Sus scrofa: one gene and its partners. The protein of the gene in region 1 purifies or fractionates together with the protein of each later gene. This does not show direct contact. Links are inferred from orthologs where the notes say so. Each region holds a gene or a part of one and is shown on either strand. Other genes may lie near its edges.

Evidence for each region.
Region 2: the proteins of RBBP7 (region 1) and BRMS1 purify together in Homo sapiens (affinity purification with mass spectrometry; 3 studies listed by BioGRID and IntAct, counting the BioPlex papers as one, with this or other methods). This does not show direct contact. The link is inferred for Sus scrofa from reciprocal best matches to the Homo sapiens genes RBBP7 and BRMS1.
Region 3: the proteins of RBBP7 (region 1) and PHF19 purify together in Homo sapiens (affinity purification with mass spectrometry; 3 studies listed by BioGRID and IntAct, with this or other methods). This does not show direct contact. The link is inferred for Sus scrofa from reciprocal best matches to the Homo sapiens genes RBBP7 and PHF19.
Region 4: the proteins of RBBP7 (region 1) and PWWP2A purify together in Homo sapiens (affinity purification with mass spectrometry; 3 studies listed by BioGRID and IntAct, with this or other methods). This does not show direct contact. The link is inferred for Sus scrofa from reciprocal best matches to the Homo sapiens genes RBBP7 and PWWP2A.
Region 5: the proteins of RBBP7 (region 1) and ZBTB2 purify together in Homo sapiens (affinity purification with mass spectrometry; 3 studies listed by BioGRID and IntAct, counting the BioPlex papers as one, with this or other methods). This does not show direct contact. The link is inferred for Sus scrofa from reciprocal best matches to the Homo sapiens genes RBBP7 and ZBTB2.
Region 6: the proteins of RBBP7 (region 1) and FAM60A purify together in Homo sapiens (affinity purification with mass spectrometry; 3 studies listed by BioGRID and IntAct, counting the BioPlex papers as one, with this or other methods). This does not show direct contact. The link is inferred for Sus scrofa from reciprocal best matches to the Homo sapiens genes RBBP7 and SINHCAF.
Region 7: the proteins of RBBP7 (region 1) and ING2 purify together in Homo sapiens (affinity purification with mass spectrometry; 3 studies listed by BioGRID and IntAct, counting the BioPlex papers as one, with this or other methods). This does not show direct contact. The link is inferred for Sus scrofa from reciprocal best matches to the Homo sapiens genes RBBP7 and ING2.

Annotation. Positions count from the first base shown.
Region 1 is NC_010461.5:13,313,721-13,317,652, forward strand, and holds the start of RBBP7 (histone-binding protein RBBP7), read right to left. Parts: upstream 2,801-3,932; 5' UTR 2,593-2,800; coding exon 2,445-2,592; intron 2,159-2,444; coding exon 2,014-2,158; intron 1-2,013. UniProt on the Homo sapiens protein: Core histone-binding subunit that may target chromatin remodeling factors, histone acetyltransferases and histone deacetylases to their histone substrates in a manner that is regulated by nucleosomal DNA.
Region 2 is NC_010444.4:6,044,771-6,048,876, reverse strand, and holds the start of BRMS1 (breast cancer metastasis-suppressor 1), read right to left. Parts: upstream 2,801-4,106; 5' UTR 2,650-2,800; intron 1-2,649. UniProt on the Homo sapiens protein: Transcriptional repressor. Down-regulates transcription activation by NF-kappa-B by promoting the deacetylation of RELA at 'Lys-310'. Promotes HDAC1 binding to promoter regions.
Region 3 is NC_010443.5:260,906,277-260,909,776, reverse strand, and holds part of PHF19 (PHD finger protein 19), read left to right. Parts: intron 1-322; coding exon 323-391; intron 392-561; coding exon 562-682; intron 683-3,083; coding exon 3,084-3,151; intron 3,152-3,500.
Region 4 is NC_010458.4:63,408,677-63,412,720, reverse strand, and holds the start of PWWP2A (PWWP domain-containing protein 2A), read right to left. Parts: upstream 2,801-4,044; 5' UTR 2,735-2,800; coding exon 2,154-2,734; intron 796-2,153; exon of another isoform or gene 659-795; coding exon of another isoform or gene 576-658; intron 1-575. UniProt on the Homo sapiens protein: Chromatin-binding protein that acts as an adapter between distinct nucleosome components (H3K36me3 or H2A.Z) and chromatin-modifying complexes, contributing to the regulation of the levels of histone acetylation at actively transcribed genes.
Region 5 is NC_010443.5:14,892,696-14,895,458, reverse strand, and holds the end of ZBTB2 (zinc finger and BTB domain-containing protein 2), read right to left. Parts: coding exon 1,907-2,763; 3' UTR 501-1,906; downstream 1-500. UniProt on the Homo sapiens protein: May be involved in transcriptional regulation.
Region 6 is NC_010447.5:42,929,035-42,933,244, reverse strand, and holds the start of FAM60A (protein FAM60A), read right to left. Parts: upstream 2,801-4,210; 5' UTR 2,615-2,800; intron 1,005-2,614; exon of another isoform or gene 924-1,004; intron 763-923; exon of another isoform or gene 553-762; intron 1-552. UniProt on the Homo sapiens protein: Subunit of the Sin3 deacetylase complex (Sin3/HDAC), this subunit is important for the repression of genes encoding components of the TGF-beta signaling pathway.
Region 7 is NC_010457.5:44,916,153-44,920,394, reverse strand, and holds the start of ING2 (inhibitor of growth protein 2), read right to left. Parts: upstream 2,801-4,242; 5' UTR 1,872-2,800; coding exon 1,700-1,871; intron 1-1,699. UniProt on the Homo sapiens protein: Seems to be involved in p53/TP53 activation and p53/TP53-dependent apoptotic pathways, probably by enhancing acetylation of p53/TP53. Component of a mSin3A-like corepressor complex, which is probably involved in deacetylation of nucleosomal histones.

The DNA of each region.
Region 1 (3,932 bases):
CTGTCCTCAACACCCAAGAATGCAGGCTGGCTGGCATTTTCTTGCATTCCCAGAGCCACTGCACATCCCACAACCAGATCCCACTTCCTCATATGCAGAGAACACCATGGAATACATAATTTAATTTCTGTTAAATTCCCAAGTGTTAATATAAACGTAACATCTGGGCCGAAAACACACAGAACTATTATCTTTCAAATCTTTACACACCAAATAAATAAAACCTTTACACAAACCACATCGTGGGTAACATTTTTTAAAGATTTCAAGAAGCAGCCTTCATTCAAATACAAATGAAGAGTTATTCCACCCTAACAAATTATTTCTCAATAGGAAGGGGTGGCAGAATTACCATCAGCCAGCACTTCAACATGTGTGATCTTATTTATTCCCTCAAATGTAGGCAGTGAGAACCGCCAACACCTCTGTTTACAGACCAGACTACTCGGGGATAGAGACTGACCGATTTGCCCTCATTCACAAAGCCAAGAAGCAGGAGGCATGATTCAAACTCAGGTCTCTAACCTTAAAGCCCTCCATCTTGTCTATTGTTACACTAGGTCAAAAAGATCCAAGGAAATGTAAATTGAAGTTTTAAACAAAGAGCCAAACGCACACAATGCTCTAAACCAGAACCTCAATACCCTGGTCAAAGTTGGTATAAATATCAATACTTAGAAGTCTGCAGTGTTTAGTTGTCGGCTCTTCTTCCCGCTGTACATTGACATTGAGATTTTGGGGTAAGCCCAATGGAAGTCCCTATCTGTAGAAGTCAATGTTCGCATATGGACAATCCAGCCGTTATATCGGTTTTATGTGAAGGTAATTTATTTACTCTTATTTCTTACATTACAAAATTCCCTCTCTCGAGTTGGATTAATCCTCATTAAATTATATGCTCACAATTTAACACACTTGTAAAAGTGCATGGCCAAGTTTCTATTAGGAAATGTGCAACTGTATGAAAAAGATAACCTAGGGCAGAGGTTGCCACAACTCTGGGGCCACCTGGCTTGGGTTCAAAAGCCCACTCCACCGCTTACCAGCTGTGTGATCTGGGGCATGTTATTCAACATTTCAGCCCGGTTCCACATTGGTAAAACAAGAATGATAAAAAGTAATTATTCTACTGTTGTATTAAACCAAATAACAGGACACAAAACTCTTGAGATGTGCCATGCCGTATTCTAAGTACTCAATAAATGTCAGTAGTTATCACCGGAGAATTTGACAAAGAATTGAAAAGAATACTCTTAAGAGGACCAAGAGCAATTTCAAAGTGTATCCCATCCCACACTATAAGCCAACAACCCCACCTTTCCGGTAGTGAACTGCTGCTCAGTTCTCTTCCCCTTTGCAATTAACACGTATTTATCTTGGGGGCTGGTTACAAGGATGTGTGCGCTTCGCAAAAATTAATCAAGCCATATTTTATGACTTGTGCACTTTTCTGCACGTAGCTGTTTTCTTTCTTCTTTTTTTTTAATGGCCACACCCGCGGTATATGCAAGTTCCCAGACCAGGGGTCAGATCCAAGCCGCAGTTTCGACCTACGTCGCAGCTGCGGCAATGCCAGATCCTTTAACACACTTTGCAGGGGCAGGAATAGAACTTGCGTCCTGGCGCTGCAGAGACGCCGCCAATCCCATCGCGCCACAGCCGCAACTCCTAGGCACGCTATTTTCCCATAAAGTTTTTAAAGAAATCCCACCAGTCTGGCACCCAAAAAGATGCTGCTCTATGTTAATGCCCAATAAATGTCAAACATATCCGGTGCCTCCCGCAAATAACATTAATCTCACAACAGATTCTTTCTCCCCCTTTAAGCGCCACATTATTACGCCAGAAACCAACCCCCAAATCACTTAAGTTTTAAAAATAAAAATCACCTGCCACCTCACCCAAGGGCTAAACTAACTACATGCTTACGTTCCATACAGAAAACGCCAAAAAGTAGGAAATCCAGGACAACAGTTAAATTTACGCAAAATAAAAGGTGCCAGAAACCCTTACTTAGTCACTTCAGGAAGCCACTGAACGGTAAGACTCGGCCACTGAAGAGCATGGGTCATAACCAGGTCATACAGAAACGGTGTATTCTTCTTCCAGATTTTATATTCTTCATTGATGACACGCTCCTCCACAGTATCTTCAAACACTGAAATTTGGAGAAAGCCCACACGATTAAGTGGCGGAGAGGGATCGAAAACAAAACCTGTACACAGATACCGGAGGTCACCTCGAGATGGCCACACCTAATCTCCTCTCTCTCTAATTTGGACACGAACTGCTCGTCCACAACGTGGAGAGAATATTAACACCAGGAAGCTTTTTTTTTTTTTTTTTTCCCTCTCCACTTTGAAATCAATAATGCCTGCGAATACAGAATCGGGTAATTAATTACACGGACATCGCAAATGTTTTGCCGCTACAGCTGTCCGCACCTGTTCGGAGATGACGAGCCGTATGTAAAGAGGCTCCCCGACCCACCCGGCGAGACGAATCCACGTGTAGCAGAAACCCATCGGCCCGCTCCCTCCATCCCCCACCAGGAGAGGCCTCGGCTCCCACGAAGCCCGCGTCGGCAGCCATAAGCCACGGGTTCCAGAATTCCCCCGGACAAGAGCCGCGACCCCGAGGCGGCCGCCGCGCGCGCGTGGAAGAAGCCGCCGCGCCCGCTTTCCGGCGACGGAGGCCGCCTCCGCCCGGGGACCGAGAGCGCCGCCGCCGGAGGGGGTAGGGGGTGGCGGGGTGGGGGGGGAGGGGGCCCAAATCGCGGCCCCGCGCCCGGCTCCGGAAGTGCTCGCAGCCCTCCGCGCCGCGGCCGCGTCCCGCGTAGGCCCCTCGAGGCGCGCGCCCAGCCTCGCGCCCGGCCCCGCCCCCTGCTCCTCACGCCAATTCGCGCCTTTCGCCGGCGCGTGCCGCGGCCTCGCGCGCCCGCCGCCCCCGCCGCCCCGGCGCGCGCCGCCCCGCAGGGCCTCTTACTCTCTTTACTCGCCATCTTGCGTCGGGTCGTTTGCCCCTCGCCGCCGCCTCGGACTCCCCTCGCTAGCCAAGAGCAGCCCAACAGTAGGCGCTCCTGCCTTTCCCAGGCGCGTCACACACTTCCAGCTCTCGAAGCCTCAGCTCCGTCTTTCAGCCTGGGTGCTCCCCAGACGCCGCGTCCTTCTCTCCTACCTCCTCCCCGATTGCGGGTACCGAGGTCTGAGACGCTCTTCTCTCTCTCTCCAAACTTGGAACGAGACTTTTCAACCCGCGCCTCCCAGCCCGCCCAGGCAGCTGAGCGCAGGCGCATCCGCCCTGGGAAAAGTGAGAGGCGGTGGAGAGGCGGGCCTGGGAGCCAACGGCTTGGTGGTTTCGACCAATCACGTGCAGCAGGCAGGTTTCACGCGGCGTTCGGAGGCGGGCTTCTGGAGGGTGGGCGGGACGTTTCGCGGCAGGAAGTTGGCGAGGCGCAGGCGCGAGGTCTCGCCCGGCGCTCCCAGGGCCGGCCGCGGGGGCGGATGGGGGCGCGCGGGGGTGGGGCGAAGGGAGGTGCGGCGTGCAAGCTGCGTGGGGGCTGTGAGCCCCGGGGCGGCGAGCCCTGGGGCCGCGGGGCGTGGCTGCTTGCAGCGGCCGTGGCCGTGGCGGTGGGGGGTAGGAGGGGGGCAGGGAGGCTGTTGCTGCTTAGCCAGGCACAATCTCAGAGCGAGAGAGGAAAATGGTTTCTGGTCTCGAGAGATTACTGTGCCCTCAAAGTCTCCCAGATAATCGCAGGCATGCAATTGTGTGCACCTCGAAAGGTCTCCCTCCACCCGACTAGCCTTTCCTGGGGCCTGGTGGAGCCGAGGTGTTGTTTGTCGGAGGCAAAGGGGGACTTTTGCAGAGGCCGCGGGTGTTTTCTGACTGCAGAAGCCGCCGGGCCTCCCTGGTTGGCTAAACTGGGGCCTGTG
Region 2 (4,106 bases), on another chromosome or scaffold:
ACCCACTGAACGAGGCCAGGGAGTGAACCCACATCCTCATGGAGACTCGTCAGGTTTGTTACTGCTGAGCCACAATGGGAACTCCTGGGCCCAAACTTCTGATCCGGGCTTCCAAGGCCCTGCACAGACTGGACTTGAATCACCGGTCCAGCTCCTTCACCCCACCATCTGCTGGCCAGTTCTCAAATATACCACGCACTTCCCCACCAGCCCTAACGCCCACGGCGCTATTCTTTCTTTCTTTTTTTCTTTTTTTGGTCTTTTTAGAGCCATATTCGCAGCATATGGAGATTCCCAGGCCAGGGGTCCAATTGGAGCTGTAGACGTTGGCCTACACCACAGCTACAGCAACGCCAGATCCAAGCTGCGTCTGCGACCTACACCACAGCTCACGGCAATGCTGGATCCTTAACCCACTGAGCGAGACCAGGGATTGAACCCGAAACCTCATGGTTCCCAGTCAGATTCCTTTCTGCTGCGCCACGACGGGAACTCCTGTGCTATTCTTCTGCCTACACCGCCCTCCACTTCTCTTCCTGAGAACACTCTACGATGCTTGTGTTCTCACTGGGCTCAAATCCTATCTCCTGCTTCCTTCATGATCTCATGTCCTCAGTGCTGCCCTCTCCCTTATGCATCTTCAACTCTCGCTCCTGACAGCTCCTCCCAGAGAACGTCAGACGTGCTCAGGTATCTACCACCAGAGAGAGAAAGCAGAAACACAAAACCTCACCCCACCCCACTGCTCGCCGTTTTCCACCTCATGGCTACTTTTCAAGGCCTTGTGGACACTTGCTATTCCTACTCGCCCACCTCCCACTTGTTCTGTTCCTGTATCATCACTCTCAGCTGAAGCCCATCCTGTAGAGTTAACTGACGAACTCCTCGTACCTAATGCCAGTATTTTTTGGTGCTTATCTTAGGTTGACTTCTCAGCAAACTGAACAGTCTTAAGCATTCCTTCTTTTAGTCACTCATTTAATATTTACTGAAGATCTAATACATGCTAGGTAGCAGCAGACACTATGGTAGGAGCTGGGCACAGGTGCGACAGTCTCTGACCTCAAGGAGTTTACAAGTTCCTGGGACAGAAAGGCTAAGAAACAGACTGTTGCTGTGGGGTGAGAAGAGTTAAGACCAGGGGCTTACGGGAGAGGCATCTAACTGGGACCTGGAGCCTGCTGCAGCAGTGAGGGCCTGCAGAGGAAGATGGGCCAGACAGATGAGCTGAGCTGGTCAAGAGAGGGTGCATTCTAAGTAGAGTGAGTAGCAGGTGCAAACACCCCAAGAGGAGAGAAGGGGGCAGGGCTGGGGGTCCATGGGTCTAAGCCTCACAGAGAAATGTGGGCTGCAGAGATCTGGTCATCACATCGTGAGTTCTTCAGGCCTTGGGAGAGGGTGCAACCAGCAAGGCAGAATGTGTGGAGTGAGAAGGAGTTCATGATGGAACTTCTAGGGTCATCAAAGGGGCAGATGACAAGATGCCAGGAAAGGAGAAGGAAATTAGCAAGAGACAGAGGAGGAAAAAGTCAGAGTATAGGGGGAGAGAGAGAATTTCAGAATGAAGGAGATGAGACAGTGCCAAATGCTGCCAAAAGATCGCCCAAGAGGAAGACTAAACAGTCTCAATAGATCATTTCTGACTAAAGGGGTTTCTACTTCACCGGATGTTTTCCTCTGGGTACTTTGTAGTCCTTCAGATCCGCGTAGATGCCCCTCCTTATTTATTTCCACGTCTGTTGCCCATCCTCATGCCTGTCTGTGAGCCTCCCCAGGGCAGGGCTGCACACGCGCTTTACCCACCCCGCGCAGTACTGACTCACTAGACCACTGGAGGATTTGCGAATGCAAATTAAACAAAACACATTTTTGCAGGGCAGGAAATGGCTTTCTTAGTAGCCCCTGGTCCCTACAGTGGTAGCAAACCCAAAGTGTTTTGTCACCTTTCCTTGACATCAGTTTGAGTAAACTGACTGGCCTAGAGGGCCGTTTCAAAGCATTCCTCAAGGATTTCACAAATGATCTGAACCTGAGCTGAAAACCTCGGTTCTCCAAATCAGCCTCCTCTTTCCCTTTTTCAAGCCTCAGTTCCTGGAGTTCCCAAACTTTGCAATTTCTCTTCACTGTTAAATATATTTTAACAACTCGGGGTAAGTCCCACCTTTCTGGACCAGAGAGGGCGGGGCTTGGGGGGAGGTCTCTCTCCACCAGTCTCTGGGTCTACTGAGAGAGCCAAATTAAATCACATCCTCCCCACTTTAGCCCGGGTACAAAATGAGGATAACCATCACTACTCTGGGTGTTGTAAAGATGGCAAGAGGTAAGGGATCGAAAAGCAAACTATAAGGTGCTGTGCACATGCAATTTATCTTTTCAGAAAGCGAGCATGTCAAGGGCACGCCTCGTAGGAAGGAAGATTCTTCCCCACCCTCGAAGAAGCCGACCCAGTCCCTCCACGGCGCACCCAGAGCCTCGCGCCCCGCTCCATCTCCGTACGCGGCGGAGCGGGCGGGAGAGTCACTGGCTCCTCGGTCCCGCGGCCCCAGCTCGCGTCCGGGCGGTTAAGTCTCGCTACCGCCCTGGATATTGGGCAGGCTCCGACTGCCTGTCCGAAAGGGCAAACCAGGCGCCAGGGTTGGCGTTACGCACCCGTAGGTAGTGGCGCTTCCAGCCTCACGTCTTAGATTCCCCAAGAGGTGCCGGAGGTTATCGGTACTGGCTGCCGCTGTGGGGGTCCCGGAAGCGCCGCACCGGTCCCTCTTCTCCGGGGGCGGGGCCTACCCGCGCTTTCCGCATGCGTCATCAGGAGGCGCCCATCGGAGTGCTCACAATTGGATAGCTGGGGCGAGGCATGCTGGGATACCGCGGGACGGTTTCCATGGCAACGGACCGACATTCACACAGGCTTTCAGCATGCAGGAAAGGCCCTTGTGCCTTCCTAGCTTTGCAGCCCTCGCGTCTGGGTCCACAGTCACCTCCCGGCGGCGCGAAAGGGGAGAACCTGCGACCCGCGGCCCCCACCCCCGCCCGGTTCCGGAGAGTAATGGAGCCAGCTGTAGGTGTGAACACTCATTTATTTACACATTGTAGTCGGTAGGCAAATCACCCAGCCCAGGCTATTCAAGGGTACAGATCTCAGACGCACAGAACCTGCAGATCCTTCCCTTCTCTAGAGCCCCCGGGACGGAGGCCTAAGACACCAGGAAGTTTCGGCTTCTGCCCAAAAGCTAAGAACTAAATTCAACGCCTTCATCTGATTTCTTTCCAAAAAGCCCATTTTGTTAACTACTCAGACTTCTCAGCTCTGCCCCCATTCATACTTTTTGCTCTCCTACTGCTCACCCACCCAAGATTGTTAATAATAATAACAATAATAATAACAACAATAATAATACTGTAATAATATTAATAATACTTCACATTTGTACGAAGCTTACAGAATGTTTTCACATATAGCATCTCATCTGAGCCTCCCAGCAGTTCTGTGAGGTAGGTATTCTCACCTCCCTTTTACAGACGGGGTAACTGAGGCTCAGAGAGAGAACGGGATTTGCTCAAGGCCACACAGCTAGTTAGTGGTTAAGCTAGGACTTGATCCCAGCACCCCATATTCAAGTCCAGTGTTCAAACACCACAGCTACCACTGTAAAGTGGAGTGACGTTTCTTACCCCAGTCAGGCCTGAGGGGCGGCCTAAGGAGGGAGGAGGCTGAGACTTCTCAGACTAGGGGAAGGAAGGGCTCAGCAGTGACGTGGGGAGTCGGGGTACTTGGCCTTCAACTCCTGCTTGAACTGACGGTAAAGGATCTTATTGTGCTGATTTTCGGCCTCCTTTTGGGGGTGGAATTTCAAAGCTTCTTTGAAGCCTTTATGAACCAGGAAACCTTCGTTCAGCACCTCAAAATCGAATCCTGCCACGTGCAACTCACAAGCCTGTGGAGGGAGAAATAGGTCAGCAAAGTTTGATGAGGTTCCCAGGCCAGAGACGGACATCACTGCTCACTCCAGCATGCCCATTCCTCTGGAGGCATCCTGGATCTTTCAGCCATCCAGCCACCTCCTAAACTATGATCCCTCCTGCCTCACTGGCTCCTTTCCATCCAGGGC
Region 3 (3,500 bases), on another chromosome or scaffold:
TGATGACGTGTGTGTTTGTGTGTGTGTGCATCTGTGTGTCTTTGAGGCAGAGGGAAGAGGATGACCCTCGCAGCCCAGTCTTGTTCAGCTTGGTCTGAACTCAGGCACACTCCAGGGCAGTGATACTTGGGAAAGGGTTTCGGGTGGAGGTTAAAAGGGGTAGGGGAATAGTTTTTGGTCCCTGTTCTGCCCCATCTTTATCCCCTCCCCAAAGGGAATGAGGACAGTGCTGACTAGGAAAGCAAGTGTGGGGGGAGGGGGTTGGGCCAGGGTGGGGTGTCAGAGCCCCTCCTACCACGGTCCCCTTTTCACCCACCCACAGGTTCTACCTGTTCTTCTGCTCCGTGTGTAACCAGGGCCCAGAGTACATCGAGAGGCTGCCCCTGCGATGGTGAGGTGGGGACCTTGGCCCAGGTCCACTCCTGTCCCCTCCCAGCTTCTTCCCCCCTCTCCTCTTCCTTGTGGGTGGTCCCTTCCAGCCACCAGGTCCCAGCCTTACCCCTGCCCTTCAGCCTGGACCTGAATGCTCCAGCCCTCCCACCTCCTTGCCCCCTTGCCCAGGGTCGATGTGGTTCACCTGGCTCTCTACAACCTGGGGGTGCAGAGCAAGAAGAAGTACTTTGACTTTGAGGAGATTCTGGCTTTTGTCAACCACCACTGGGAGCTCCTACAGCTTGGCAAGGTATGCAAGACCATGTGGCATCAGAATGGCAGGAGTCTGTTCCAAAGTGGGGTTACTGAGGTCCAGAGGTGAGAGGTTTGCCCAGGGTCACACAGGGCAGAACTAGGATCTGGGTCTCTGAGCACAAGTCTTGAGGAATACCACCTGTCTGTGAGGCTACTGAGTAAGGACAAAGACCCAGGGCCTTTCAGCTGCTGCAACCGTGTGTCCAGGCATCTGAGCCTGTGCCCTGCAAGGGGCTTCCTAACCCAGGTTTTGGCAGTGGATGGGCTAGGACCCCACTGACAGCCGCAGGGAGCCTGGGGGTCGAGTCTGGCTGGATCAGGTTTCTGCGGAGATGGGTGACTTACTCCAGATTACCTAGCCAGGATGGAAGGTGAAGTGGGCCTGCCCCCTGCTGGTCATACTCTGAATAGCAGAAGTCCTCACTGCAGTTCTGGGAGCTGGGATCCAGGGAGTCATGTTCTGACCCTTTCAGAATGTCAAAGGTGAAGACTGACTTGTTGGTGCTCATCACTGCCAGGGCCTCCCCAAACACTTCCATGTCCCCGTTTCTCTAATGACACCCTCAGAATCCTCTCCACCGCATCCAGTGAGGCATCTTCTCTGCTGACTGCCCCAAATCCTTTAGTGAAATGGAGTTTTTTTAAAAATAATCTTTATCCTTTGCAAAAGCTTTTCATATAACATCTTCAGTTATAGCATTTGATAATCTATAAGGCATATATATTATAAAGCCCTAAAAGATAAGTAGAGTTGGTATTTAAATTTTTTTTCTGATTATACATACATGTTTTAGAAAAATTTCAGAGCACCGAAAGCATAAGGGAGTATCCTTAAAACCAGCCACCCTCATGCATCACACCGCCCAGAAACAGCTGCTGCTAATACACATCCTTTCATTCTCCCGTTTTTCTTTTTACATGGCTTAGATTATACAGTATTTAAAACTTTTATTGAAATATATTTGATTTATAATATTGTTATTGCTAGTTTCAGATTACAGAAAAGTGATTCAGTTGTATGTTTTCATATTCTTTTCCGTTATAGGTTATTACAAGATACTGAATATAGTTCCCTGTGTTTTACAGTAAATCCTTGTGGCGCATCTGTTTTCTGTCTGGTAGCTTGTATCTGTTAACCCCGTACTCCTCACTTAGCCATCCCTTTCCCCTTCCCCTTGGGTAGCCATAAGTTTGTCGGAATGTAAATTGGTGAAGCCACTATGGGAAATGGTATGGAGGTTCCTTAAAAAACTAAAAAGGGATCTATCATACGGCCCAGCACTCCTGGGCATGTATCTGGAAAAGACGAAAACTCTAGTTCAAAAAGATAATGCACCCCAGTGTTCATAGCAGCACTACTTAACAATAGCCATGACATAGAAACAACCCAAGTGCCCGTCAACAGACGACTGGTTTATAAGGTGTGGTGTATATATACGATGGAGTATCACAGCCATAAAAAAGAATGAAGTATCATTTGCAGCAACTGGATGGACCTAGAGAATATCATAGTAAGCAAATAAGCCAGAAAGACAAATTATGTCTTTGTAATATTATGACAAAGTAATATTACATGTGGCATCTAAAAAATAATACAAATGAATCTATATACAGAACAGAAACAGGAGTTCCTGTCATGGCGCAGTGGTTAACGAATCCGACTAGGAACCATGAGGTTGCGGGTTCGGTCCCTGCCCTTGCTCAGTGGGTTAAGGATCCAGCATTGCCGTGAGCTGTGGTCGGATCCCGCGTTGCTGTGGCTCTGGCGTAGGCCAGTGGCTACAGCTCCGATTCAACCCTAGCCTGGGAACCTCATATGCCGCGGGAGCGGCCCAAAGAAATAGCAAAAAGACAAAAAAAAAAAAAAAAAAAAAAAAAAACGGACTCACAGTGTGTATAATTTAAGTCATTTTTTGGTTTATGTTATATCATACTTACTGAAAGGGTTTTTGTCATTATTTTTCCTGGCTGCATTTACTACTATAAATAAGTAGTATCTTTACTTTTTTCCTTCCTGTTGGGCATGTAGTTTCTTTCCCATTTTTCGTACTTGCCCATCATTAGAAAAATGCTGCAGTGAACTTTTTTGTACATAAAGCTTTGTTCGCGTGTCTTATTATGTCTCTATGATAGGTTCTGCGGAGTAGCATTACTGGGTCGAGGACAAAGACATTTTTAAAGCTCTTAATGCACTGGGGACAAGAGTTATTCCTCTCACTTACAGATGGGGATGTGGGCTCAGAGAGGTGAGAAGACTTGTCTGGATCATAGAACAAGTCAGTGGTCCTCAGCTGGAGGACGCCGAGCATCAGAGATTGAGAGGGAGGGGTTGGGGCTGAGGCCTCCTCAGATGCCACGTGCCGGGTCTGACTGTCCGCTGGCCTTCTCCCCTGCAGCTCACCAACACCCCTGTGACGGACCGGGGACCACATCTCCTCAACGCTCTCAACAGTTACAAAAGCCGGTATGTTCAGGGAAGGGAGGGAGCGCTTTGGGGCCCCCAGCAGTGGGATTTCAGTATAGGGTCTTCCTACCTCATAGCCCTTGCTCAAGCCATGCTCCCACCTGGGCGTCTGCCCTTCTCTTCCCTGACTGTATCCATCTTACCTGTCCCTCAAGATCCAGGGAGCACCTACCTCCTTTGGGACACTTCCCTGACCACTCAGCCGCCTGGCACATGTGGGTACTGGGCTCAGCTCCTTAGGGGGCTGCACCTGTGATCTCTGAGCAACCCCTGCTCTGGCCATCTGTGGTTCTGGGCCAGGCACTGAGGTAACACTTCACCCTCTCTCAAGTGGGCTGCAGCCTCCTAA
Region 4 (4,044 bases), on another chromosome or scaffold:
TCATCAATTAACATCAACACTGTGCAGTAAAACACGCAATCAAGTAAGTGCAGATTACAAAACATACTACATTTTTCCGAATTAAACTATGAAAAAGATATTCAACTAGTCAATCATTGGCCCATAGTAATTCCTTGAAGGGCTAAATTTTATTTTATGGGGGGGGATAAAATTTTAAAAACACCGTCTGATTTCCTCACCACTTCCAAGATGTGTGTGCATCCTATATAAGCTTCTAGAAGGCAGAATACATATAATACTCAGAATGCCTAGGAGAGTGCTCTACACGGATGTGCTCAATAAATATCTGTTGAATGAAAAATTGATATGGTTCCCTTAATGGCTTTTTAAAAATTACTTTAGTGACAGGATCCTTTCACTTCAAAATGTTAAAATGTGAAAGGAACCCCAAGGAAAGAAACTGCTCTTTCTAAGTACTGTCAGTAAAAATAGACCCAAACTCAAACAAATTGCAGTTCCCTACCAAAGAAAATTTTAAAATAAATAAAACACCAACACAATGAGCACCTCAAAACAGAATAGCACCATCCATTCTATTTCCAGAAACAACTTACCTTTTTGCACTTTCCTTTTGCAGATTTGAAATCCAGATTCTCACACAATCACCGGCCTTCACTTCTGTTTGATTCAATAGCATACACACTATCAAGCATACACTCTCTCTTTTGCTATTAATCAGTAGAAAGCACTTTGGTCTTATTTTGCTTTCTAACGACAAAAAACAAAAGTATTTAAGTCCTGACGTAAATTCTACTTCAAAAAAAAAAAAAAACAGCCAGTTCCCGTTGTGGTGCGTTAGAAACGAATCCGACTGCTAGCCAGTGGATTCGGGTTTGATCCCCGGCCTCGCTTAAGTGGGTCAGAGATCCAGCGTTGCTGTGAGCTGTGGTGTCGGTTGCAGAGGAGGCTTGGATCCCATGTTGCTTTAGCACAGGCCAGCAGCTAAAGCTCCGATTAGACCCCTAACCTGGGAACCTCCATGTGCCGTAGGTGCGGCCCTAAAAAGCAAAAATAATTTTTTTTAAAAAAGACAAAAAAGAAACTAATTTTTTTAAATTTTTTAAAAAATGTAAGACGTAGGCGTAAAGGCTCCCATCTTCTCCCATGCTTCAATTATGTATCCCAAATGAGGAAAGATTCTTAGGTCTGGACGGGAGGGCAAGCAGCTAAAAGTAAAACATACTAAAATTAACCATTTCTAAACAGGTGAGACACTAAGTGTGTGCTGTTGCAGGAAACAGAATGAAGAGCCGTGAATGGGAGTCTCTGCACTTCATATCTGCAAAAGAAGAGAATAAAAAGGTTAAGGTAACTCTAGACCTAGAAGAAAGTATCTTCTTCACCTGTTTAAAGTAATGCCCAAACAATTAAAAAAGGAAAATGTGGTACAAGAGGCTGGCTATTGAGTTCACACCCAAACGTTGTGGGTGAACTCAACCATTTAAACTGTATCGTTTGAGAAGTTAGTATTTGAATACTTTTATACCACATCTCGATACTAAAGGTTAAAAAAAAAAACATCTCTTCTTTAGACTTTTCTTAAAGCCATCATCATGATGAACCAAATATGCTTCCATACTGAACTTATCTAGGGGGAATTAGTTCTAACTAAGAATAACAGTCAAGGATCTCATTTTTAATAAATGCTTTTCCCTTTATAAGGAGTGACAGCCTTTTGGGAGTCCCAAAGCACACACCCCTTTTTTCAACCTCATTCAAGGCTAATTTGAGAACAGGGCAGTATCCCCCATCCAGCACCCCGTTCTCTGCAAAAAGCCTTCTGCATTTTGCATTAACCCATCCACCCTTGTGTGGGTGAGCCAGGGCCAGGTCATAGGAAAAGGCCGAGGCTGGGGGTGAGACCCGCAAGGCCGTCAACACCCGCGCCCCCGACCCGGCGGGACACCTGCACTCGCGGGCGTCCACCTGGGGCAGGGCCCGCCCTCCTGCGGCCCCACGCGCCTGCCCCTCTCGGAGCACGCGCCACGCGCCGCGCGGGACCCAAGGGCGGTACAGGCAGCAGGGCGCCTAAGAGGCGGGAGCCCGAAGTGAAGGGGCCGCCCAGGCTCGATCCCTCCCCGGGGACCGTGGGGGCCGGGGCGCCCGGGGGCGTGCTGGGGAGGACGCGGTACCTTTTGGACAGATCCATCAGGACCCCCGAGAAGAGCTTCTCCCCGAGGCGGAACGACACGACGAGCGCGTCCTCAATGATGTGGTCCAGCGTGACCCGCACCTCCGAGCCGGGGATCAGTTGCGACACCGCGGAGTCCCCGCCCGCCGGCGGCACGAGCGCAGGGGCTGCTGGCTGGGGCAGCGGTAGTTCCTGGCGCTCCTCGGGAGCTGGGGGCTGCTCGGGCGGCGGTGCAGGGGAAGGTGGAAGGTCAGGCCCCTCCTGAGACGCGGCTGCCGTCAGCTCCACAACACCGGCAGGCAGTTCGTCCGCCTCCAGCTCCAGCTCCGCCGCCTCCGGGCTGCAGGCGAGCTCCCCCGGCGGCGGCGGTGGCGGCGGGAGCGGGGGCTCGTCGGCCTGAGGAGAGGACTGCTGCCCGTCGGCCTCGGCGTCCGGCACAGATGCTTCAGTGGCCGTGACCGGGAGCGGGTCAGTGCCGGCCTCGCTGCCGGGGATGGGCTCCATCTCCGGCTCGGCCTCGCCGGCGCCCCCCTCCCCGGGGGACGCTGCAGTCGCTGCCGCCTCTGCAGCCACAGCCGCCATTTTCTTCCTGGCTTCTCCCTCCTCCAACTCCGGCTGCTGCTGCGGCGGCGGCGGCAGCGCTGCTGGGTTCCCCGGGCCTTCCCCGCCCTCACGCTAACAGTTTTGTCCCGCCCTTACCCCCCCCATGCTCGCTATTGGCACTGCGCCATTGGTTCCGTCCTACACCCCTCCCGCACTTGTGACATTCCACTGGTCAAATCAGGACGTCTATCACCCAGTCCATCCCTCCCATGCAGAGTAGGAACTTCTCATTGGCCGGGCGAGTTGTCAAATGTGGTATCTTAGAGGAGGAGTTGGGGACGGGCTCAAAGGGGGCGGGGGAGTCACCGAAGCTGAGCCTTATACTTAGCTCCTCTTTCTATTGGCTGGAGGAGAAAATAACGTCTTACAGTTGGTCTACCCTCCTGCCCATTATCAGCCGGTTTTTCAGAGGTGGAGTAAACGAGGGAATCACGTGGCGTTCCTACTCTTTCAAAGGCGACCGAGGGGTGGAGAAACGAAGTAATAAGGGAGGGGAACCGCCTCCCAGGAATCCCTGCGCAGAGGTCCTTAGAATAAATGTTATTTCTAGGCGCAGACCTGCTTGCTGCCGCGTGTGGGCACAGGCTTCTTTGAGAGGGACAACTAAAAGTTTGAAGATAATTCTAAAAAACAGTTTTTGAGCTCCTACCATGCAAGGCACTTGCACGGGAATAGAATAGAATAATGTGTAAGACATTCCCATAACCTCACTGCAGCTGCTCAAGCTCCCACAAAAAGTGTTTCCTCGACGTCGCTCTACTTTCTAGGAACAATGCACCTACTTATTCCAAAGTAGGAAAATGCTAACGAATCTCTTGCGAAGGAGGGCATTAAGAATCCTAAAGTGTCACTGAAGCAGCCTGGGTCGCTGCCACGGCCTGAGTTCAATCTCTGGCCAGACAACTTACATAGGCCTCAGGCGCAGGGAAAGGAAGAGGGAAGGAGAGAGAAAGGAAGGAAGAAAACAGGAAGGACACCATGCACACTAGATTAAGCTGATGATTGTCAGCTTAATGTATGTCAGAGAGCAGTCCTGGACTTTCTTGTGAACACTACTTTTTGGAAAGTGGTGACACCTGGCTCCTTGCTCCAGCTTTTTTCGTTCCGGGCCTCTCCTATGCCACAGGTGCAAAAAATCCTCTCTCTTCACCGCCCTAATGCTCCTACTTCTCTGTTCCCATTTTGTTTCTTCACTTGTGTAGAAGAATCTATTGAACCCATTTCTGACTAATTGCACCTCAGATTGAGTCTTTTCTCCAGAAGAGACTGTAGGCACTGAGAATGCCTAC
Region 5 (2,763 bases), on another chromosome or scaffold:
CCAAAACGGGAACTCCTATCGTATCTTCTTATATTGTTTATTTACTCATTTGATTCTCACAATATTATTATTATTATTTTTTTGTCTCTTTAGGGCCGTACCGCACACATGGAGGTTCCCAGGCTAGGTGTGGAATTGGAGCTATAGCTGCCAGCCTACACCACAGCCACGCCAGATTGGAGCTGCGTCTGTCTGTCTGTGACCTACATCACAGCTCACAGCAACGCCGGATCCCTAATGCACTGATTGAAGCCAGGGATCGAACCTGTGTCCCCATGGATCCTAGTCAGATTCGTTTCCGCTGAGCCACGATGGGAACTCCTGATTCTCCCAAACTTATGAGCAGTGCAGTTACTGTCTTCATTTTACAATTATACAAAGTGCCACTCAGGTTAGGGGAGTTGCCCAAAGTTCAAGAGAGAAAGGAGACACAGCAGGAACGCTATTTGTCCTTCCTGCATCTTTTTGGGTGGACAAAGGAAGATGCAGATAAAATCATATACCCATTTAATCAAAGGTTTATTCAATGAAAGTATGTATAAAAACTTACAAATCTGAGAACTCAACTATACATGAAACAGGATGACGGGATATTCAGTTTTTAACATACACGTACAGCACAGTTATTAACTGCTCTTCCCTTTCCCCTTCGGTCCTTATTTTTGGCTCCTATTTTGTCTTGTGAGACCATTCTGTTATTGGCCTAAGGGAAGATTAATGGACAACGTTTATGCTTTCAGGCCAATGGAGGAAATTTCAGGTGTCGGGAAAAAATTTGGATACTGTAACATCAAAATTCAGAGTTTTCCCAAAGAGCAATTAAGGTTTTTGTCCTGATTTCTCTTGGCCATTTCTAATGCCTCCATGAATGTTGCCAGTGAACTATTAGCATTGACGTTTAAAGTCATTAAAGTTACTCTATCGGCTCATAGCTTCCCCTGTAAGATGCATTTCCTGCATCCTTTGTCCTGCGCACACACACTGATTTAAAAGCAGCTAACTGGTGCTAAACAAATTTACCACTGGCAACTGCTAGAATGGCATGTCGTTTTCTATTCAGAAAGACAACCTACAGAACAGTACTTCCAAATCTGATTTTTTAAAACAACCAACAAATTTATCAGAAACGAAAACACAGTGTTTTGTTGTTGTTCAACTTCGAAAAAAGCCAGCAATCAGATAAGGCATGTGCATTCATTCACCTGTTTACAGCCGGTATCCACACATTTTCTCTTCCAAACACACAAACTCACAGCTTGTCATGTTGTATCCAAAAATTCAGATTGCCATCACATTATTACTTTTTCCTCTTCTGTGTTTTGTTCAAGTAGATTTCTTAACTAATGATTTTTCTTGACTGGACATAATCTGAAAGGATGCATTCTGAAATAAGATACCTGGAGGATAAATACTAAGAACATGTTCTTGGGTTTCAAGTTTCCCCACACCTGGAGATTGTGCATAGTCCCGAGCCCCGCTGTATTTCTAAGAAGCATGCTGTGTTTCCAGACACTATCTTTCTGAGAAGGAAGACTTATTACCCAGGGAAAGTCATAATTTTAGCTTGGTTACCAAATTGCATTCGCGTGGTTTTGTTTGGTTAAATACCCTTCATTAGTTCCAAGGATGCTTTTAAATAATCGAAAACCTCTCAAAATCTGAGTTTATAAGTACTACTGACCATTATCTTTCCAATATCCCCTGAATTAAAGTGAATATGTTCCAGGTTTATGATGCACAAAGCCTTTCCGGAGGAGGGGGCTGGGGACGGCGCGGGGGAGGGGGGGGAGGGGCCAGGGACGCGTTCGGCTCATGCCACGTGGAGAGCTACAGTTCTGGATTGGGGGAAGGGAAGGAAGATAGTCTGTGTTAAAATGACAAGGTTTTTTAAAAAGATAAGGAACATTCAGTCTAACAACACGGTTTCCTGTTCCTTTTTGATGGAAGCTAACACCGGGTGGTCGGGTTCCGTCACTTCCGAGTCCCCACTGCCCAGGAGAATGGACCGCCCCTCGTCCAGGGCGAAGACGTCCGAGTTCTGGTTTTGGCACGAATGTTTAACCACCTCATTGGGAGTCGAGAACGTTTTGTCACACAGGTTGCATTTGTAGGGTTTGTTCGTCTGCACCAACAGGTTGTCCATCTGGCTCCCTTCCTCGAAGGTGCACAGCTCCAGAGTCTGCTTGTCCACCATGGTGTACGTGTCTATGCTCTGGTTGAGGCACACGTGCCGGGCCGCCTGGTTGGCCCTGCAGAAGCTCTTGTCACAAGTGCTGCATTTGAAAGGCTTCCCGGTGTGTATGTACATGTGCTCCCTCCAGTGGCTCTTCTGGATAAACTTGCGGCCGCAGATGGTGCACTCGTATTTGCGCCGCTTGACCTCCCGCTCCTGGTCCGCCTGCTCCAGGTTGTCAATGTCCGCGATGTCCGAGGGCGGCGGCGTCTCCGAGTGCGGCTGCCCGTCGATGATGGGCGAATCCGAGATGTGCTGCAGCTCGCTGTCGCTGATCATCCCCGCTTCAGGCACTTCCATGGCGTCTTTGCCCAGGTCCGCCGTGGTGCTGCAGAGCGACAGGGGCACGCGGCTCTCGCCGGGCTGGCTGGCTGGGAAGGGCACCCCCGTGTGAATCTGGAGGTGCTCCCGCAAGCTGCTCCGGAGCGTGAAGCGCCGCCCGCACAGGTGGCAGGCGTAGTACTTGGGGAAGCTCCCGTTCCTCTTCATGATGCTCGGCTTCACGTGGGCTATGGTCAGGGATGCGGGCT
Region 6 (4,210 bases), on another chromosome or scaffold:
GGAAGGCAGAATTTTCTTAACCTTCCTTAAGACAACATGCGTGACGGGTGGGGGGGAATAACTGCTGGGGAGAAACTGCCTCGCACCGGGCCCTTATCTGGCGAAACAGAAATTCCTAGTCTTCTGAGTGCCTGGAGTCATTGAATGTTAGAAGGAGAAATTAAAAACAAAGAAACCTACGAGGGTCAGAGTTTCTAGAGCAAACTCTGCACCGCCCTACCACCCCAAGAAGCCCCGCTACCCAAACAGCCCCCGCCCCTGCCGCCCCCCACCCCCCACGTAAACACACAAAGACAAGAGCTGCACCCACGATTCGCTCACAGTCCTCACTTCCCTTTGTAGGATAACGGCAGTCCCCAAACTTCCCCGCGGTGGTTTTTGGGTGTCGTCGGGGCTGAGTCCCCTGATCGTGCGGGCTGCGCACGGCTCGGCTGGGGTGGGGGGGCCCTCGCCGCGCTCGCGGGTTTCCCCGAAAGCAGTCAAACGCCTCCCGGTTCCCACTCCGGTGCTCCGCGGCCGCCCCAGGCTGCGCTTCCCCCCACATACACACACCCCGGCACGCGGCGACGGCCGACACAGAGACACCCAGGCAGCAAACAGAACCGCTCCCAGGCGGATCGGTGCGTAAACACAACTGCGGTCGGGAGGAAAGTTCCTGTGGAGAGCTGCCCGCCCGGGCGGGGGCGGCGGCGGCGGCGGCGGCAGCGGCAGCGGCGGGAACCGAGCGCGTCCCTCGCTGCCGCCTCCCTCACCTGCGCCGGAACAACGGGCCCTGCGCCCGCCCGCCCACCCGGCCGGCCCGGCGCCTCCCGCAGGCCGCGCCTCCCGCACGCCGCGTTGCCGGGGCTTGTTCCTCCTCATGGCTTTGCCCTGACGTAATTCAAACATGGCAACAGTTCGACTTCAAAGGCGGATCCACAGACCTCCCAGACGCAGGCGCCGGTCCCGGGGAGCTGGCCGAGCCCTCGGTCGTCGCAGCAGCCAGCGCCCGGGCTCCAGCGCGGGGCCCCTCGGCTGCCGCTGGCCGCGCGGAAGCACGCTGCCTCTCCGCACACCCGCACCGCGCACTAGTAGCGCCGCGAAAGTTTCCCCGCGAGAGGCCGAGGGACAAAAGCCCCTTCCGAAACTCGCCCGAACTTCGGGGGGCCAGGCCTGCACGGCCCTCCGCCCGGCGGCCGCCCAGAGCGCCCGCCGGGCCCGCAACAGCACATGCGGCTCTTTGTTTTCTGTCCAGCTGGGCGCTGCCTACGTGCAGCAGGAGGGACGTGGGATTGTTTCTCTGAGGGAGATACTAGACGATCGCCCAGGGGAAGGGGCCGGACCCCACGTCCCAAAAGTCCGGGGCCGGTCCTGCCGTCCTCCCCTAGCAGCGGGGCCATTTAATCAAAGTTTTGCAATGTCCTTGATGAGAAACGCCCGGATTCCCCGCCCTGCACCGGCCGAGAGTTGGCGACTTTCACTCTGCTTTTGAAACTGGCAAGACGCCATCATCAGCAAGTCACATTGTCCTGCCGGCCGGCCCCGACAGCACCCGCATCTCCCGGCTGACCGCGAGCCAGAGGCTCAGCCGGACCTGGGAGCAAACCCGGGTCGCAGCCCCAGCACGTGGTCTGTCACGCTCGGCACAAAAAGCAGTGCCCTCCTGAGTTCCCGCACTCCTCCGGCGCAGACAACGCCGCTGCCTCCATCCCCAAGTCAACTTGACTCCGACTGGCCATCTTAAGCCGTACACCGTGGCCCTAGAGAGCGCCGCGGCGCCCAAACCACGCTACAGGTGAATAAATTGCGGACCAAACTTGAGGCTCCAGACACCCCGAACGCCTGCGCTGCCTGGGCGCGGCCCTGGGGAGAAGCGTTTCAGAGCCGGGGCCGCTTCCGAGCGGCCGCGTGCTGCTCATTGTCGCATCCGCATCCCTCCGGAGTTGGGCGGACAACGCCACCCGCATGCACTCCGGCCATGCCGGCACCAAGCCGAAAGGCCAATTTAAACCTCCTCCGCCGGCCAGCTCACAAGTAGACGCAACTTAGTTTTCGAGCGAGGGGCATTCATTGTCCACACTCATCTAAACACGCGCCGGGGGTGGGGGGGCAAGAAACTCAACCACGAGGTCCAACAACGGCGCCCGGCCACTCCCGGGCGCGCGCCCACGCGGGTGCACCGACCCAGGGCCCCTCGGCAGTCGCCAGCAACTCGTTTTCTCTCGGGCCTTTCAGCCACCAGGCTCCTTTTCGCCAGCGAGCACTGCGGCTGAGAAAAGTCATTGTCACCTTCAATGTGGACCCCTCAACTCCGGCGACTCCTCACTCTTCCAGGCTTCACTCACTTCCCCCACCCCAAGACTTTCGGTTTGCCTCAAATACCCTCCCCAATTAAAAAGGACACACTAAACATGCAGATACAAAGAATCTGGGGTCTGAGGACCACGAAAACCGCGCTCCAAGCAATGCCATCTCCAAGACAAAACTTCCTGTGTGCGTATATGAATGTGTGCGTGTGTGTCTGTGGAAGGACTGGGGGAGGTGGTGAGGTGAGGTGAAAAGAGAAAAAAAGCCACTCCGAAATCAAAGCCTCCTGAGACAGTTTTGCACCGCAGTAATGGTTAGAGTCACTCACCTTCCAGAAGCAACCGTTCCACGCGCAATAATGTTTCAGAGGTGGGGAGTGCACGCCAAGCCAACCCACGCTCCAATCGCTCCCTCCTCCTCAACTGCCTTGTCTAGAAAGATTGTCTCCTGCAGTTCTGCAGTTGCCACGGCTGGCGGGGAAGGTGTAGATTCCGCTTTCCTTCTGCGCACGCGCAGCTCCTGGTACAAAATTCTCCTGAATCGAACTTATTTGCATACGGGCGCGCGCGCGTCGAGGGCTGGGAGGGGAGAAGGCCCGGCGGCCGCGCGCGCTCCCGAGGCCTCTATTGTCCTTTTAAGGGGAGAAGCGCCGCGGCGCGGGAAACGCGGCGGCCACAGGGAAACGGGGGCGGGGACTGCTTACTACGGTGACGTCACGTAAACAAACGCCCCCTGGCTGGAGGCCCAGGCTAAGGGGGAGTGGCGAGAGGGGAAAGGCGGAAAGGTTAGCAACCCAGGGAGAACACTGGGCTGCGTGTCGTACTTTACACTCGGAAGCTTTTCGCGCACACCGTTTCGCGTTGAAAAATAGTTTTGAAGGCTGTTTTTGCAAAATTTTCACATCTCTGCCCAGTGTCTGAACTGAAGTGGCAGGGGAGGTGGTCTTCCAAGCGCCCAGATTGAATTAATACTTCTCCCATGTTTCCTAAGTTTTGCTTGAAAAAGGGTTTTTGAATCTTTTTTTTTTTAAATTCTCTGAGGCCAACGGAGATTTGTCTTTCTTGCAGTTTTAATGAGTCGTTTAATAAAGTCCCATTTTGACATTCTGTTCATTCACCAGCTCCCGTCTGCACTCCTCAAAGAGTAACCCACTCCATAATAATTCAGTTTTTTTCTCCACTTTGGCCTTAAGATTTCAAGCCTGTTGCAGTTGAAGAGTTGTTAATTTCCGTGGGAATAGTGTCGCTTTTCTTTTATAGTGGAAAGCCAGTAATCTAGGGACACACATCCCACCTCCAGCTGCTAGTAAAGGGTGATCCAATCACCCAGAAATAATACCACCAACTGGTGGTCTTGGGAATTGAAAAAGTTGCCGGTGAAATGCAGAGTTTCCCTTATGGAATATGTAATAAACCAACAATCTAAATGCTTCTTGCCCCAGAAGAGAAAAAAAAAAAAAAAAACTGAAGAACTGAAGTAAATCTCAGACCAATAAGTGAAAAATGGAAAAAAAATAATTGTGGTACACCTTTATTCCAAGAACACATCTAACACCAACAGGCTGAGACACTGATTTAATGACAGACATGGGGAGACAGGAAGGATGTTTTTCCCAGAAACTTGATATTGGTCCCAAGATGCAAAAGTGTGGACATTAACCATAAAACTTAATCATCTGCTGACAAGTTTCACTGCTTTCACTGTAGTGTCAACAATGTGGACTTAGATATTTCTGATGCAAATCAAAACCACTTTGAGATACCACCTTACACTGGCTAGAATGACCATCATTAAAAAGTCTACAAACAGGAGTTCCCGTTGTGGCTCAGTGGTTAACAAATCCCACTAGGAACCATAAGGTTGCGGGTTCGATCCCTGGCCTCGCTCAGTGGGTTAAGGTCCCGAGTTGCCATGAGCTGTGGTA
Region 7 (4,242 bases), on another chromosome or scaffold:
GTAAATTTTAATTTATCTGCAAAATGAATTTTAATTTCATAGAGTTGTGAAGATTAAATGAGATAATGTTCTGGACGTGGTGCAGCAACTGACGGTAAATAATCTGTATTATTTCACTACTCCCCCCGCATAAAGATCAGTCCTCTTAATCATACGGGCTCAAAATAAATTACAGATTAAAACACACCGAGATGCTCTAAAATCCTACAGGCCCAAAAATATCACCCTTTAAGAAACGGGTTCCTTAGAGACTAAATCACAGGATTAGTGACGTGCCGAAACAGAGAATGGGTCCAAGAAGTTATCCCTTTAAAGTCCATATGGCTGGTTACACATTAAGTCCCAGATCTGTTCCTTGATTCAGGGTTATTAAACGCAAACGGCTCCCCATTTAGACTCCCCTTCTGGCGAAAGGCGAAAGGGCCACCAATGGAAAATAATAAATAATACTTTCTGTAAGAAAAGCTGAGCCCCAGTCCTAGCCTCCTGGATCGGACCACAAAGGGTGACTAGTGCCTCAATCACTTAAACTTGGCAAGAGGAGGGACTCAGGGTTTAAGGGACGCCAGGCGGTTGCCCAGTCAACCAACCCACATCCTCCAAGGGCCCGGAAGTGACGCAAGGCCCGGAACCTACGCGGTGCCAGGGTCAGGGACGATCCCAGCATCTGACAGTGTCTTTGTCGTGATTGAGTGGTTCGGAAAAAGTAAAAAAAAAAAATCACAACAAACAGTCCCAGATCCCAACACTGAATCTCCTGAGAACGAGCTAACTTCCCGCACAGCTCCCACCCGTTTCCAACCAGCTAGCTTCGCCCAACTCTGTGCGAGACCAGCCATCCCCGACACTGGCCATTCCCGAGACCGGCGGGAGCGCGCGTGTCCTCGCCCCTCCCATGTCCTACGTCACGGCCTCAGGCCCCGCCCCCAAGTGGGGGCCCTCCCCGCCACACACACACACACACACACACGCGCGCGCGCGCACACACACACACACACACACCCTCTTCCTTCCCCGCAGGGACCCCCCTAGCCCTTTAACCATTTGGCTGAACAAGTTGGGAAAGGCTACGGCCCGGAACTTTCCCTGGGGCGGGAGAGGAGACTACTATTCCCGAGTCCGGAGCCTGAGAGCCGACGGAGGGACCTCCCCGGAGGCCGCCTTCGCAGCCCTCTAGCCCCCTCCCCCTCGCACGTTCCAATGCATCTGCTCTCAAGGAGTGGGGGCCCACCTGGGGGGTGGGGAAAGCCAGGCCCAGGAGACCAGCGGGAGTCCGGCCGCGGCCGGCCGCTCACTCCCCACAGCCCCGCCTGGCCGTACACTCCCCGGCCGGGGCAGGAGGGTCTGCGGCACCGGGCAGGGGAGCGCCGGAACAAATGCTTGCTGCTTAAAATGGCTGATTCCCCTCCACACCAGCTGCAGCCTCCGGGTCTGCAGCGGGGGCTGTCGAGCCGCCCCCACCTCCACCCTTGAGACTCCAAGAGAAGTCCTCGCCGACCGCAGGGGGAAGGGAGGGCCGCGAACCCCGTCTCCAGTCCCGTTCTCCCGTCCCACACACCAGACCCCTCTGTACACTCGGGGAGACTGTCACAGGAGAAATGGAAAGCGGCACTTCCCCAGGCAGGCTCCGAGGGACCGTGCCCGGCGGCCAGCGGATGAGTTGGGGGAGGACCCGCACAGGCAGTCCCGCGGCCCCTACCTTGATATTTGTTGTCCAACTCTCGCAGCACGGACACGTTCCTCTGCATGTCGTGGGGCAGCGACTCCACACACTCGAGGTAGTCCTGCACGTAGCAGGTGAGAAGCCGGCTCCGCTCCCCGGTCAGGAGTGCGGCCGACGAGTAGAGTTGCTGCTGCTGCTGCCCTAACATCCTGCCGCCGCTGCTGCTCCTCGCCGCCGCCGCCGCCGCCGCCTCCGCATCCAGCAGCCACTCATGCAACAGCCACGGCCGCCGCGGCTCCTCTGCTCCGCAGCCCGGCGCCGCGGGGACACCCGCAGCCGCTCAGGAGGGCACAGCCGAGTCCCCCGATCTCCACTCCCCCCAAAAAGAAGCCCTCACTCCCCGCCCCCGCGGTAACAAGCCCAGGGGCGGGGCGAGATCTGGGCTCCCTCCTTTTTCCCCTCCCTCCCCAGGACTAGAGCAGCGGGGATCCCCCCAGCGGAGCTGGCGCCGGGGTCCCGGGCGTTGACACTTCCTGTCCCCCTCAAAATCCCCAGATGCTACCGATGCCGCTTCGCAGCTCGGAACCCCATGACAAGCCTTTCGCTGCCCCTTTCCTCCCAATCACCCTCGGTGCCTGTCGGAGAGTCTCTCACTGGATTGCCCCCGCCCCTCCGGCTGCGGACGCGTCTGCGCCTGCGCAGGCCTCCCTCCTAATAAGGCCGGGGGCCCGCCCCTACCGCCCTACCGAAAGGTTCGCATTCTCCCGCCTTCCCTCCGCCACCCGGGTGATTGGTCTGTAAACTCTCGGCCCGGGGCGGGGGGAGGGTGCGAAGGGCAGCCAAACGGCAGGCTGCGCACCGCCCCCTCTTAAAGGGGAAGCACTGTCAAGTCCACCTCTTTGCTCAAGGTCTGAATGGGACTTGCGGGGGCTGACGGCTGAGTCCTCCCTTTCGTCCTTCCCACAGGGAGGGGGAAGCTTGGACCAGCTCCCCCAGCCCGGTGTTACCGACTTTTCCCCCATCAGGTGGATCAAGCGCGGCCCCTCGCAAGCCTTAAAAGGAGCAGCGGGCGGTGGCTCTCCGCCGCGACCCTGGAGGGAGGCCTTGCGGGTCGACGCGGCGGCTTGCAGCGGGCGCGGCTCCGAGCATGCGCGGCGGCTGTGTGCCCGCCCGCTCGGCACCGCCCTCGGGCTCGGTCCTCCTCCCGCCGCGGCCTGTAGGCTCCCGGAGCATCCGGGGCTGATCGCGGAGGTAGGCGGTGCCCCCACAGCCCCCTGAGGTTTCTTTCTCCCTTAGTCGATCCGTGTTTTGAATCTCCTGGCTTCAACGAGGTCCCACCCTTCCTCAGACGCGGGGCCCCCCCGCGCCGTCCCACGACCGTGCAGGTTTTGTCCACCCTCCCGCTCTTGGGAGATCGAGTTTAGTGTGGGCTGACTGCCCTGAAAACTGTCCAACGGGTAACCTTAAAAAAAGAAAAAGAAAAAAGTTTCCCCCCGGGGGATCAGAACGTTTAAGCATTAAACGTCGGCTAGGGCTTCCTGGCGGCTTGAGGTTCACCACCACCTTAACATCTTTCTCCTCTAAGACAGAAAAACACTGGGGGGCCCGAGGACAAGGGGTGGTGAAGACGCGAGGAAAAACCTAATTAGGAATCAGGTTCACGTCCTCATCTAGGTGATCGGTCGACAGGGTTTAATTTCTGTCTTTTGTAAACTGAAATGCCAGGCAGAGGAGCTAATTTTAATTTCAGATGGACTCAGTTTGTATAATGACGTGTGTTTTTGGAAGAAACGGGTGTAAAGAGAACTAATACAAAGAGAATTTTAATGGCGTGCCAAAGTAAACAAACACTATTGTGAGTAGCACATTTGAGTTAAAAAGAAAACGTGAGTGGGTGATAAATTTGGATTTCTCCTTATATCCATTTGGTTCGCCGCGGTGGTGCACTTGCATGGTGACCTATTTAGAGTACTTTTGAAATAGCTGTTAATAGTATGGTTACCATTGACATGCAAAGAGAAATCTAGACCTTGAGGTACAGGATATTTTAAATTTTAAAGCCGAAACAAAGCATTCTTGGAAATTTGAGTCTTGGGAACAAAGTAATATTACACAGGACTCGAAGATTGTCATGTGCTATTTTCCTGTGACACTTTGAGGTTTTGACCACTTCAACCCAGGCAGTGTAGTATTGTATTTCAGAGAATCATCTAGGTTTCTTATTGTTGTCCTCCTTTAAATCTCTTAGGTTAAGCAGCCAGATCTTGTCAAAAAACAGTCACTGTGAAAAATTGAATTTTATCACTTTTTGCCTGAACCTTACTAGTTTTGTTTACACATAGATTTAAATCGGTTAGGGTTTTTTTGAAGGCCCCAAATAATGCACAATGTCTTATTATTTATTGATTCTGATTAGACATAGAATGCACCTATGATTTTATTCAGCCTAAATAGTGATCTGCAGGCAGATATGACACATGGTTAGAAAGTAGAAGTGAGAAAAGGCAGTGATTCTGAATACCTAGAGCACTCCCTCCAAGAACAGAAGAGCATGAGATGAAGGGAGGATGAATATGCAA